2 linked regions of the Drosophila melanogaster genome follow. The protein of the gene in region 2 purifies or fractionates together with the protein of the main gene of each other region. This does not show direct contact. Each region holds a gene or a part of one and is shown on either strand. Other genes may lie near its edges. The genes, in order: Sec3 and Exo84.

What was found.
Region 1: the proteins of Exo84 (region 2) and Sec3 fractionate together in Drosophila melanogaster (co-fractionation; one study listed by BioGRID). This does not show direct contact.

What each region holds. Positions count from the first base shown.
Region 1 is NT_037436.4:17,421,257-17,427,046, reverse strand, and holds Sec3 (secretory 3), read left to right. Parts: upstream 1-1,829; 5' UTR 1,830-1,947; coding exon 1,948-2,601; intron 2,602-2,659; coding exon 2,660-2,887; intron 2,888-2,945; coding exon 2,946-3,395; intron 3,396-3,467; coding exon 3,468-3,949; intron 3,950-4,005; coding exon 4,006-4,513; intron 4,514-4,591; coding exon 4,592-4,939; 3' UTR 4,940-5,260; downstream 5,261-5,790. Other genes in the region: Polr3G (RNA polymerase III subunit G), read left to right, coding at 1-121, 191-319, 377-739; COX7B (cytochrome c oxidase subunit 7B), read right to left, coding at 852-908, 968-1,137, 1,407-1,452. UniProt on the Drosophila melanogaster protein: Component of the exocyst complex involved in the docking of exocytic vesicles with fusion sites on the plasma membrane.
Region 2 is NT_033777.3:26,049,185-26,054,296, forward strand, and holds Exo84 (exocyst 84), read right to left. Parts: upstream 3,074-5,112; 5' UTR 3,046-3,073; coding exon 3,006-3,045; intron 2,946-3,005; coding exon 2,787-2,945; intron 2,734-2,786; coding exon 2,403-2,733; intron 2,349-2,402; coding exon 1,576-2,348; intron 1,517-1,575; coding exon 987-1,516; intron 932-986; coding exon 746-931; 3' UTR 547-745; downstream 1-546. Other genes in the region: Vps2 (vacuolar protein sorting 2), read left to right, coding at 3,733-4,045, 4,106-4,563.

The sequences.
Region 1 (5,790 bases), on a different chromosome or scaffold from region 2:
CAAGACAGGCACCCTCACGGCGGAGCAAATGGCCATGTTGGGATGCACAAAGGATATGCCGGTGCAGACGGCGCCGCCACCTACATTTCCGCCTGTTTTGAACAGACCCACTACCCTAGAAGTGGGTACAAATCCATTTACATTAGTTTAAAAAACATCGATCAACTTTTTACCTGTTTTACTTCGATAGACAACAGCCACACAGAACTATCAGCTCCTGTGGAAGGAGGACTTTCTGAACCGAATGCGAGATTCCCCCTATTACATGATCTCCGCCAGTCGGGACGCAAAAAACCTTGATCACAAGGACTGGCGAGAAGTAATAATACTGGCTATTTTAAATTAGCTGCTTATAATCCTGCTTTTACACCCCCAGAAAGCCATGGAGCGCATGAAGCTCACAGCACAACCCGATTTTAACTACAAAGCCATGCCCCAAGAGCTAAACATCTCCAGTCGAAAACGTCGTGGAGCAGATGCAAGGCCGAATCTGCTGACCAAGAAGACAAACATCGAGGACAGACTGAAGGTTCTGGAGCAGAAAGAACTGAAATCAGGTGGCGGTGAGCAGGACGAGAACAAACAAGAGTCCGATTCCGAACAGGAGGAGGAGGAAGATCCGGAGGCGGCGTTGGATGATGAGATGGACGAGGACAACGACTACGGTGCAACGTACTTTGATAATGGAGAAGCCTTCAATGATGAGGACGACAACTTGGACGATGGTCCCGTTTACTGAGACAAATAAAACCATCGAACTGATTACTTTCGGATCTGTGATTTACTATGTCGCCACTTTAAGCTTATTTAACACAAATGTTGGATTAATTTACACGTAAGGGAACGCTGGCTTAGTCCAGGCTCTTGGGCGCGTAGTAGTTGAAGTGGATGATACCAGAAGATTTCACCTGCAAAGCGTATTTCAATAAGACCGATATGGGATGGAAGGAATATGGCAGCCACTTACGAATCCAATAGTGCCGGCCAGGACGAGAATGCCAGTGATGAGCGCGGCATTGTACTTGGCGTTCTTCTGGCTGTGCTGCTCCTTCCAGTCTCCAGCGGGCACGGGCAGATCGTTCATGGTGGAGTGGGGACCATGTCCACCGTGGTAAGCGGCACGCGACAAAGCGCCAGCTGAAATGAGAGAACAAGAAAGAATATTCAAGTGATTGGTTTTAAAAAGGGGGTAATCCCAACGAAATGCAACTTGGTTAATGATCTCATCCAAGTTTCTTCCGATATCTGTTTGGCTAATTCTGATAATATCCATGGCTATGCTGAAGATTGGTGGGTGAACCATTCCTTCGCAGTTCCTTGAAGTTTCTCCCTTTGCTTATCCACATTATGTAATTTTTAAGGTTAGCAGTTTTGCTGAAAAGAGGTGTTGGGCCACTCCAACTCACCGTTCTTGAGCAGAAGCCCCTGCTTGACAATGTGCTTAACCAACATGATTGCTCGAAAGTAGCTGGAAATGGGTAAATATGGGTTTATTTTCACTGCCAATACTTTTTCGCATTATAACTCACCCGAAGATTACCTTGTGTTGAACAGTGTGACCGTTGTGTTGTTATAGAATAATATCTACCCTACAGTTGGGATGAGATCACGAGCTGCATACTTGTTATTACCTACGATGCGATGAAACCTTCAATGTATCTATTATACTGAAATGTTTAAATAACAATATGATTTAATACATTTTAATTGGTTTCTGTAGTCTTAGCATATTTTTGCTATGTGACTTTTAACCACGTAAAGAACACTCACGCAATGCGCTCATCCCCAACCGATAGTCTGTAAACGCCTCTGCAGAAGCTCTGTTAAATCAGCTGTTGGTGCGGAGGCGTTCTCCAATTGCTAATTGCAAGTGCAAACAACTGGCCAGTTGTTGATTCTTGAAAGGACTTTATTCGAGACCAGTGCATCCCGAAGATATACCCAGCCATGCTGTCCATTGGCGCTATGGCCAACATCAAGCACACGCTGCAGAAGGAACTCTTCTTGGCCTCCGGAGAACGCCTCCTTTCTGTGGTGACGGTGGTCAAGAAGAAGGACAAGAAGCCGTGCTACCTTTGCGTTGTCACCACGGCGCCACCGGTACCCGTGGTCACTTTGTGCCTGATCAAACAGTCGGAGCAGCGCGAGGGCGAATACAAGCGCAAGCGGAGCTGGCAGCTGGACGAGATTAAGTGGGTTGACGGCCGGAACGAGCAGTTCGAGACGCACGAGTTCGATCTGCAGTTGGAAAAGCTGTACAAATGGTACGCCCTTAACCCTCACGAGCGCCAAAACTTTCTGGCCGTGCTCAATCGCCAAATCCAAAAAAGCGTGCGTGGCCAGCGGGCGGAATTCCGGAATGTGCCCGCAGCGTGGTTGTCGGAGAAGTCGCCGGAAAAGGTGGCATTGGGCAGAGCGGTTCAGAAGACGCAACACATGGACGACGAGGAGGACGAAGAGGAGGAGGCCCAGGAGTTTACCGCTCTGACGGACAAAGAGGCCAATGAGCTGGGCAAACTTTTCTCCGAGTGCGACTTCGCCATTAAAGATGCTGAGCAGTTCATAGAGCAGCTGTCGCGTGAGCTCCACGATTTGGATGGGGTTAGTAAATTGGGCTTGTCCACCGTGTATACATTACTCATAATTTCTTATCTCGCAGGCCAATATGCAAAGTGTACTTGCCTCGGAACAGAAGGTTCTGAAAATGATGGAACACATCGACAATGCTATCTCCGAGGCGGATAAGTTTGAAAACCGTCTTGATAGCTACGAGGACATTCTGGGGCATGTCAAGGAAACCATGGAGAAAATTGGAGGCAAAAATGCCATGATCGAAATTGCCAACAATAACAATATCAAGCTTATGAAGGAGCTCAACAAAGTCATAGTGCGTATTCTTAGTGTACTCAATTTTATACTGTTTAATAATTCTGCTACTTCTGCAGAGTCAACTGGATCTGCCGCACAGCCAGCAGCAGGCTCTGGATGAACCCGATTTAAAGACCGCCAATGGACGCAAAGCAGCCATTGCAGCTGCTCAGTGCCTGCAACAGGCAATGAACAGCGATATAGATCCTGCTCTGCTGCGTTTGGAGGCGGTGCAGGACCAACGCAAGCGCTTTGAAAAGTGGAAACAAAAATTCTCTGCCACGGTCAGTCGGTTTATGAACAACCTCTTCATCCACCTGGGCAATGAAATAGGAGACATGCAGGTGACTAGCACTGAACTTACGCTGCCTAACCATTCCAACGTCCATCGGGAACTGACGCCTTATACTGAGCTGATGCACTGGACAAAAGCCATGGATCGGAAGACCTACGATGGTCTAATGCGTGTGTACACAGCATCGCTGAGCAAGATCTATGACAGGGATGTGAGGAACTTCTTCAATTTGGTAAGACATGAACATGGAAATGTAATAGTTTGTAATCTAAGCTAATCTCGATCACTTCTGATTATTTTATAGGCTAAAATTCAGGTGACGGAAAAGCTTCGTAATTCTCGGGAGGATCTGGACATGTCTACGTCTTCAAGAAAGTCCGCAGTTTCCACAATACCTTATGGCACACTGGGAATCAACAGGGATCAGTGGGGTCCCGGTGTAGAGACAGCGGATCGAATGCGTTTTGATGCATTGTTGGAAAAGGTTCTAGCTGAGCTGGAACCCATCGCCCTGCAGGAACAGCTTTTCTGCATCAACTTTTTTCAGATGGACGTTATTAGTCCAACGACAAAGAACACACAGACTACGTTGGAGATGGAAAAGGCGGTGGATATGACACAGTCAATCATATCAGGAGCGGTTTCGCCATCAGGTGATGGTGTTCCGCAGAAGCGGATTGACCGTCAAATTAACGAAGATGTGCGTAAACTGATGATGGGCCTTTTCGGTTGCCTAGAACCAGAGCTAGTTAGCTTCATCCAGAGCTTTGAGCGTGTAGACAGCTTGTAAGTAAACAATATAGTAATGGAGTAAGGAGTAATTAACAAATTTGTTTTCGTAGCTACTCTCTGTACGTTTTTGTGCGACTTACGCAGCACGTCATGTCCGCCCAGGACACACATTCCTTTCTTAGCATGACCTTCGCTTCCGCCTTGGTGCAGGTGAAGCGGAGCTTCGACCGCTTTATGCAGAACCAACTACTGTCTATCCGGGAGGCAAAGCTGCACAAACGTTCTAAGGCCATTCTGCCGTATGTGGAAAACTTTGAAAACTTTGCCCAAACTGCAGAGGGCATATTTCGGAAATCGGATCGCCGAACGGACATGGAGAAGTGGTACTTGCAGCTGGTGAATGCCATATTTGAGGGCATCCAACTGCATTCGCAGGAGCACCCCAAGACACCAGTTCAGGTAGTGCGCATGGAGAACTACCACCACATGTACGCTTTGTTAGCCCAGCTCAAGGTTCCTGGTCTGGACGCCCTGAAAAAGGAGGCCAAGAAGTGTTATAACGATGCGCTAAAAGCGTATGTGACTCAGTACTTCGGCCGGCCGCTGGAGAAACTGAATGTAAGCCAAAGTCAATGACCTTCCAGAAGAAAAGATAAGTCGATCTTCATCTCATAAATTTCCGTTCTGCCTTTGCAGCAATTCTTCGAAGGCGTGCAACTTAAGGTGGCCCAGGGAGTCAAGGAAACGGAAATCAGCTACCAGATGGCATTCTCCAAGCAGGAACTCCGCAAGGTGATCGCTCAGTATCCTGCACGAGAGGTGAAGAAAGGACTGGAGAACCTATATAAGAAGGTGGAAAAGCACCTGAGCGAGGAGGAGAATCTGCTGCAAGTGGTATGGCATGCCATGCAGGAGGAGTTCATTGCCCAGTATAATTACCTGGAGGAGCGCATCCAAAAGTGCTACGCCGGCGCCATGATCAACCTGGAGTTCAACATTCAGGACATACTCGCCTTCTTCTCGGACATAGCGCGCTCCCACTGATCTAGGGATTGGAATCTGAAAGTCAGGGAGCGGTTCAACCGGGTTTTATTTTTAAGTGCAATAGTATTTAAAGCGCTGTTTCTGCTGATTGCAAAATATATGGCGCGTATATTTAAACAGATGTGGATCTGCGAATGTTCGAAACGTCCAAGAGAGAGGGATCGCGTAGTGAAAAATCAACGAGACTAGGCCTTAAAGGGAACTTTTCAACAGCTAGCCATTGAAGTTGATTATTGTATAAGTTCTAAGCTAAAATTACATAGCCAATACTCAACTTTTGTCCAAGAATGCGAGTAAACTAAATTTTATATATAAAAATGTAGAATTTCTAGAGATCTTACTTGATCTTTAGTACGTCAGCTTTTAAAAATCACAGATAGAAGTTTGACTTTTTGTATTTATACTTTTATAGTATAACTCTAATTTACTACCGTGCACATTCAAACAGCCTCCTAAGGTCAAAGAGAGCTCTTCAAGATCAAAAGAGATAGATCATAGCCTAAAGAGAGAGAGAGAGAGAGAGAGTGCTCGAAGAGTGAGCTTTCCGGGGTGGCTTTTCGTTCGCCAGCCGTTGGAGTTCGGGCTGGTGCTCCCAGTCAAGCCGCGCGACTCTTTCGCATCGGTTGTCGCCTGTCCGCGTGATTTACCCAACTGCAGTATAAGCATTTTATTTCGTGTATTTTAAATTGTTCTAGCCGTACGTGTTTCCGTGTGTGCTCATGTGCCGTGTTGATAACTCCGTGAAATGCAAATGGTAATTGCAAATGGCAAATGGCAAACGGAAAATGGAAGAAGCCGCAACGACTTGCGACTGAATGTGGTGCATATTTTATGAAGCTCCGACAGGGAGA
Region 2 (5,112 bases):
TTTATGTGAGCGGTTTTTGTAATTTAGCTGAAAAGTCAGACAGCGAATGCAACAACAAATGTAATTTTAAGTTGTCAGTTTCCTTACCTCCCAACGTCCCTCCAAACACACACCACACACACACAAACACAACATACGAAAAACACAAAACACATTTGCATAAAAGGTATATATATATATATATATATATAATTATAAATGAATATACTTAGTAAGCATTTTAGTTAAGAGTTTTACATTATAAATTAAACACGGAAACCACTTTCGAAACACTCACTCGCATTGGGGGTCAGTAGTTAGAAGCTCAGAGCAGTCCGCTTTGCTTGTATGTAATTTGAGAAAATGTGTAATGAGAAAATCGAGGAATTAATTGTGTGAATCAAACTCAACTCTTCAGAACCAAGTGTAAAATCCTATATTTTGAGCAGCTAAACCCAACACAGAGAGAGCCGCATCAACAACCGAAACCGAAAAGTAGAACACAGCTAAATTGTTTAGTGTTTAGAGTATATATATGAAAAACAGAAAACGAATCGATTTATATATATTTACAATTATATATATAATGCGAGCGGCGAAATTGTAATAAGCAAGAGATAGAGTGCAGCACACGCTTCGATTTTTAATTTTACAAATATTATTATTATTGTGGTTATATATGTATATAATTATATTATAAATAATTGAAGCAAAACGAAAAAATAAAAAATTATATGTAATCGAAAGTAAATCCCACGGCGTGCATCTAAAACACATCTGTGGTGTAGACGCTGCGCTGGCGCGGCACTGGAGCACCTTGCTGGCGGGACATTTTCGTGTGCAACTCGCGCAATCCCTCGCACTGGCGTCCAGAAATCTGTCGAAACTTGTCGATGGCGATGGGCAGCAGGTTGTCCACCAGAAAAATCTTGTTCTTCATTACAAAGTTGGGCTGAAAATGGCATTCTTGAAGAGAGCGGTTTTATTTAAGCTGCTTTCTAACTTACATCCACGGCCATGTCGCTGGGCGGTTTCAACGAATGCTGGGCAATGAACAGCTCCTTAAGAAGCAGTTCCAGGCTCTGCAGCAGGGTTTCGCACTTGGCCAGACAGCCGCAGTACTCGGTGAGCTGCAGGAAGTGTCTGATGAAAACCACTGTCGACTGGGTGAGATTAATCCATGTGTCGCCCGTCGCCTGGGCTCGCACATCGATACCCAAGACATCGAGCTCCAGGAGCAGACGCTTCAGGTTCGACTTGGTCTGCAAATTGTACGGCTGCCAGCTCTCCTCGGTGCGACCCACGGAGTCCAGCAGTCGCTCCTTGGATTCCTCTATGAGCGACTCGAGTGTAGTGCGCAACAGACCTTCCAAATGATAACTAATGTCCAGCCCGATCTCTGTGAGCTTTGTCGAGGGCTTGCGCACTCGCTCCACACATTTGGCCACTGACTCCAGGGAGGTTCCCTTGGTCAGGTAATGCTTTATCAGTTGGCTGGCAAAATATTGCAGCTCCGCATTGCACCAAACCACGAGCGCTGCAAGAATTAGATAGTAGTAATACTTAAATGTAGACAGAAATAGGAATGAAGCTTACCGCTAACGCACGCCGGTTGCTTCTCAAAGGCGGTGAGAAAATCACAGGCCACCTGCGTCAGGTCACAAAAGAAGAGTTCCGATATATCCGCATTATTCCTGCGCGCCTCCCGTTGCGCCACCCGCAAACTGACGGCGCAGACCTTCAGCAGAGTGGCACTCGCCTGCCGATAGCGACCCATCTCTACGAGAATCTTCAGAGGCCGCTTGGCTGCTCTCAGAGCGATCTGCAGATTGCGATTGTGACTGTTGGACAACTCCTTGAGCAGCACATTGATCAGCTTCAGCTCCTGCTGCTTCACCTTGGTTTCAATGGCGTCCGCTAGTGGCAACTTCTTTCGGTTCTCGTTTCGCAAGAAGTCCTGGGTTCGCTTTATCAGCTCCTGGGCATCCTCGAAATGCCGTTGGGCCACCAGGGTCTGAATCTCTTCACTGGCCGTGCTTAGCCACTCGGGCGTCTCATCCTCCAGGGATTTGGGCTGTCCGGGACTCTGGGGTGTGGTTTCCTTCTCCGGAGTCGAAGCTTTTGACTGCTGTTTGGCCCGAGTTGGAGGCTGTGGCGCCTGGCCCTTTTTTGGTTTCTTTTGCTGGTCAAAGCGGAAGGCCTCTTCGAGCTTCTCTATCCACTCCGTCTTCCCAGCAGCCGTGATGCTTTGATAGATCTTGGAACCATCTGGAGTAATGATATTAATGGCATTCTTAACGCCATCCAAGTCCTTAATGTTAATCACGGCTATTTTCTTGGGGTCGTACTCGGTGAGGAAATCCAAGCGCCTGAAAAATATTACTATTAGTTTTTGCTATATGCTTTAGTATAGGAAAACCTACTTATCATGCTTCACTTTGCAGACAATCAGTACATCGTTGAAGAGGAAAAAGAAGACCCTTTGAATGGGTCGATAATCATTACTGTCCAACTCGATTAGAGCTCCCTCGTTGAGGAAGGTCTTGCCTTCCAGATTGCCATTGAAGCCCTGGACCATTTCCTTGACCGCCCGCGTGGCATGGCTATTCTCCAGATCCTCCGTCGCCGTAGTGCTCTCCGCCTCCAAACTCTCTGCCTTCAGGTGACTGGAAGTCTTGCCATCCGTCATGGTGGCCAGAATATTGCGCTGCTCAATCAGAATGTGCGACAGTTGATACATTTCCGACTCGAGATCTGCGATGCGAAAATATTAACATAAATGTATATTGATATTGGGGGGCGTAAACTACGTGATATCTCCTTGGCCGTCTGTATAAACTCCATATAGTTCTTTTTGCATGTTTGCTTGAGCGTTGCTGCCGTCGTTTCGTTGTAGGCCTCGATTTCCTTTTTTCGCTGCTGCAAATCGCTGCCACCCACACATTCTCGTGTCAGGTCCTTGGTATCTGGGAACGTTGTACTTATTAGTAGACTGATTAATGCTAAATAGACATAGGAATACTTACATTTCTCAACGCTAAAATTAAAATCGTCGAACTCCTTCATGATTCTGATTGGAATGTAAACTGCAGCTGACGCAGAGCCATTCACAACGAACGAGCGTCATCATGAGGTGTCGATTGTAAGGTTGCTGATGCTATAGAAAATGCCATGTTTTCACTGCAGTTTTCCCTGGTATTAGATAAATCTATAAATCTAGAACATTTTTATTTAGTTTTAAGTAATAGGAGATTAATTAAGATTTAAAACCTATGAAAAGTTTTATTCGAACTGAACGGCTACGTCAAAGACCTTTTAGAGATCAACAAATTTATTCGCATTTACATTTCGGATTTTCATCTTAGGTATGATTAGGCGTTGAAGCCCTGAATACTTTTTATTCGAACTGAACTTTTAAATATAAACGACTACGTCAAAGATCTACGTTAAAAATCAAGAAGACATATGTCTATATGTATACTATTCATTACAATGTGTGTGTGTTGTATTGTAATAAATTAAAATTATTTTCCACCTGTTGCTAATTCACTAAGTTGAAGTGTGAACAGTTCTTTCAGAGTGCACCGGCAAAGCTTCTTCTTCCCACTAGCACTATTCGCATGTAAGCGCCAACACGTCTTGGCCACCTTAGAATCGCGCACACCCTTCGCTTATTGTTTTGGTTGATGAGTAATCTTTAGGAAACTCCGTCATTCTTCGTAATTAAATCTTGCAGTTAAGATATCCTTAAACATGGACTGGCTATTCGGCAAGAAGATCAGCCCCGATGAGATGCTGCGTAAGAATCAGCGGGCGCTCAACAAAGCGATGCGAGATCTGGACCGCGAGCGGATGAAAATGGAGCAGCAGGAGAAGAAGATTATCGCGGATATCAAGAAGATGGCCAAGGAGGGTCAAATGGATGCCGTGAAGATCATGGCCAAGGATCTGGTGCGCACGCGGCGGTATGCCAAGAAGTTCATGCTGATGAAGGCAAACATCCAGGCGGTGTCCCTCAAAATTCAGACGCTCAAGTCGCAGAACACAATGGCACAGGCCATGAAAGGTAAACATTGGCTATTTGGCTGATTCACCCGCTTATCAAGCAATTATGCTTATCTTCCAGGTGTCACGAAGGCCATGCAGAACATGAACCGCCAGCTGAATCTCCCGCAAATCCAGAAGATCCTGCAGGACTTCGAGAAACAGTCGGAAATGATGGACATGAAGGAGGAGATGATCAACGATGCCATCGATGACGCCATGGAGGACGAGGGCGACGAGGAGGAGACGGATGCTGTTGTGTCCCAGGTGCTGGACGAACTGGGTCTGCAATTGGGCGAACAGCTGGGAGACCTTCCTTCCGCCTCCGGTTCCCTTTCCATAGCCGGCGGCGCTGGCGCTCAGAAAGCACAGGCTGTGGCCGCTGGTGGCGTTGGCGGCGGTGGAGCCGCCGGCGGAGGTGGAGCTAGTGGTGGCGGCGCTGGTGGTCCGGGAGCTCCCGGTGGCAGTGGTGCCTCATCGCCCATGTCCGATGCCGATGCGGATCTTCAGGCGCGCCTGGATAAGCTGCGCAAGGATTGAGCCGCTACTAAGAACCACTGCCTGTCCACTTTATGTAAGAGCCACCACCCGTTTGTATCTCCCAGAAGCGAATGTTATATTAAAGAGAATGCTTGTGATTTTCGTTCCCTGCGTGTTTGAAAAATCGATGAGTAATTAGCATTTACAAGCTATAATGGAAAGAACTGGGTAGTGCTGCAATCGCACAGCCTAGCTACAAACAAATTCGCAATACTTGTTACTTTAGAGCTATACAATATTCGGTATTTTAAAAGATATGTACGTTTCATGCCTGTCTTCAATAAAATAAGAAAAAGGAATTTCCAAATCATGAAATTATATATATATGTATATACATATATTCAGCTTTAACTATAAATGCAAAATTGTGTTTATCTGAATAAAAAGAAGTACTTTCCTAAATTTGTACTATTGGGTACTATAGAAATATGTAAAACACTTGAAAAATGAAAATCACATAGCACTTGTATAAATAAGAAAACTTGTTTTAAATGTCATAATATGAACAGGGGATTTAATTTATTGTTTATTGCTCTTTAACGTTCCTAC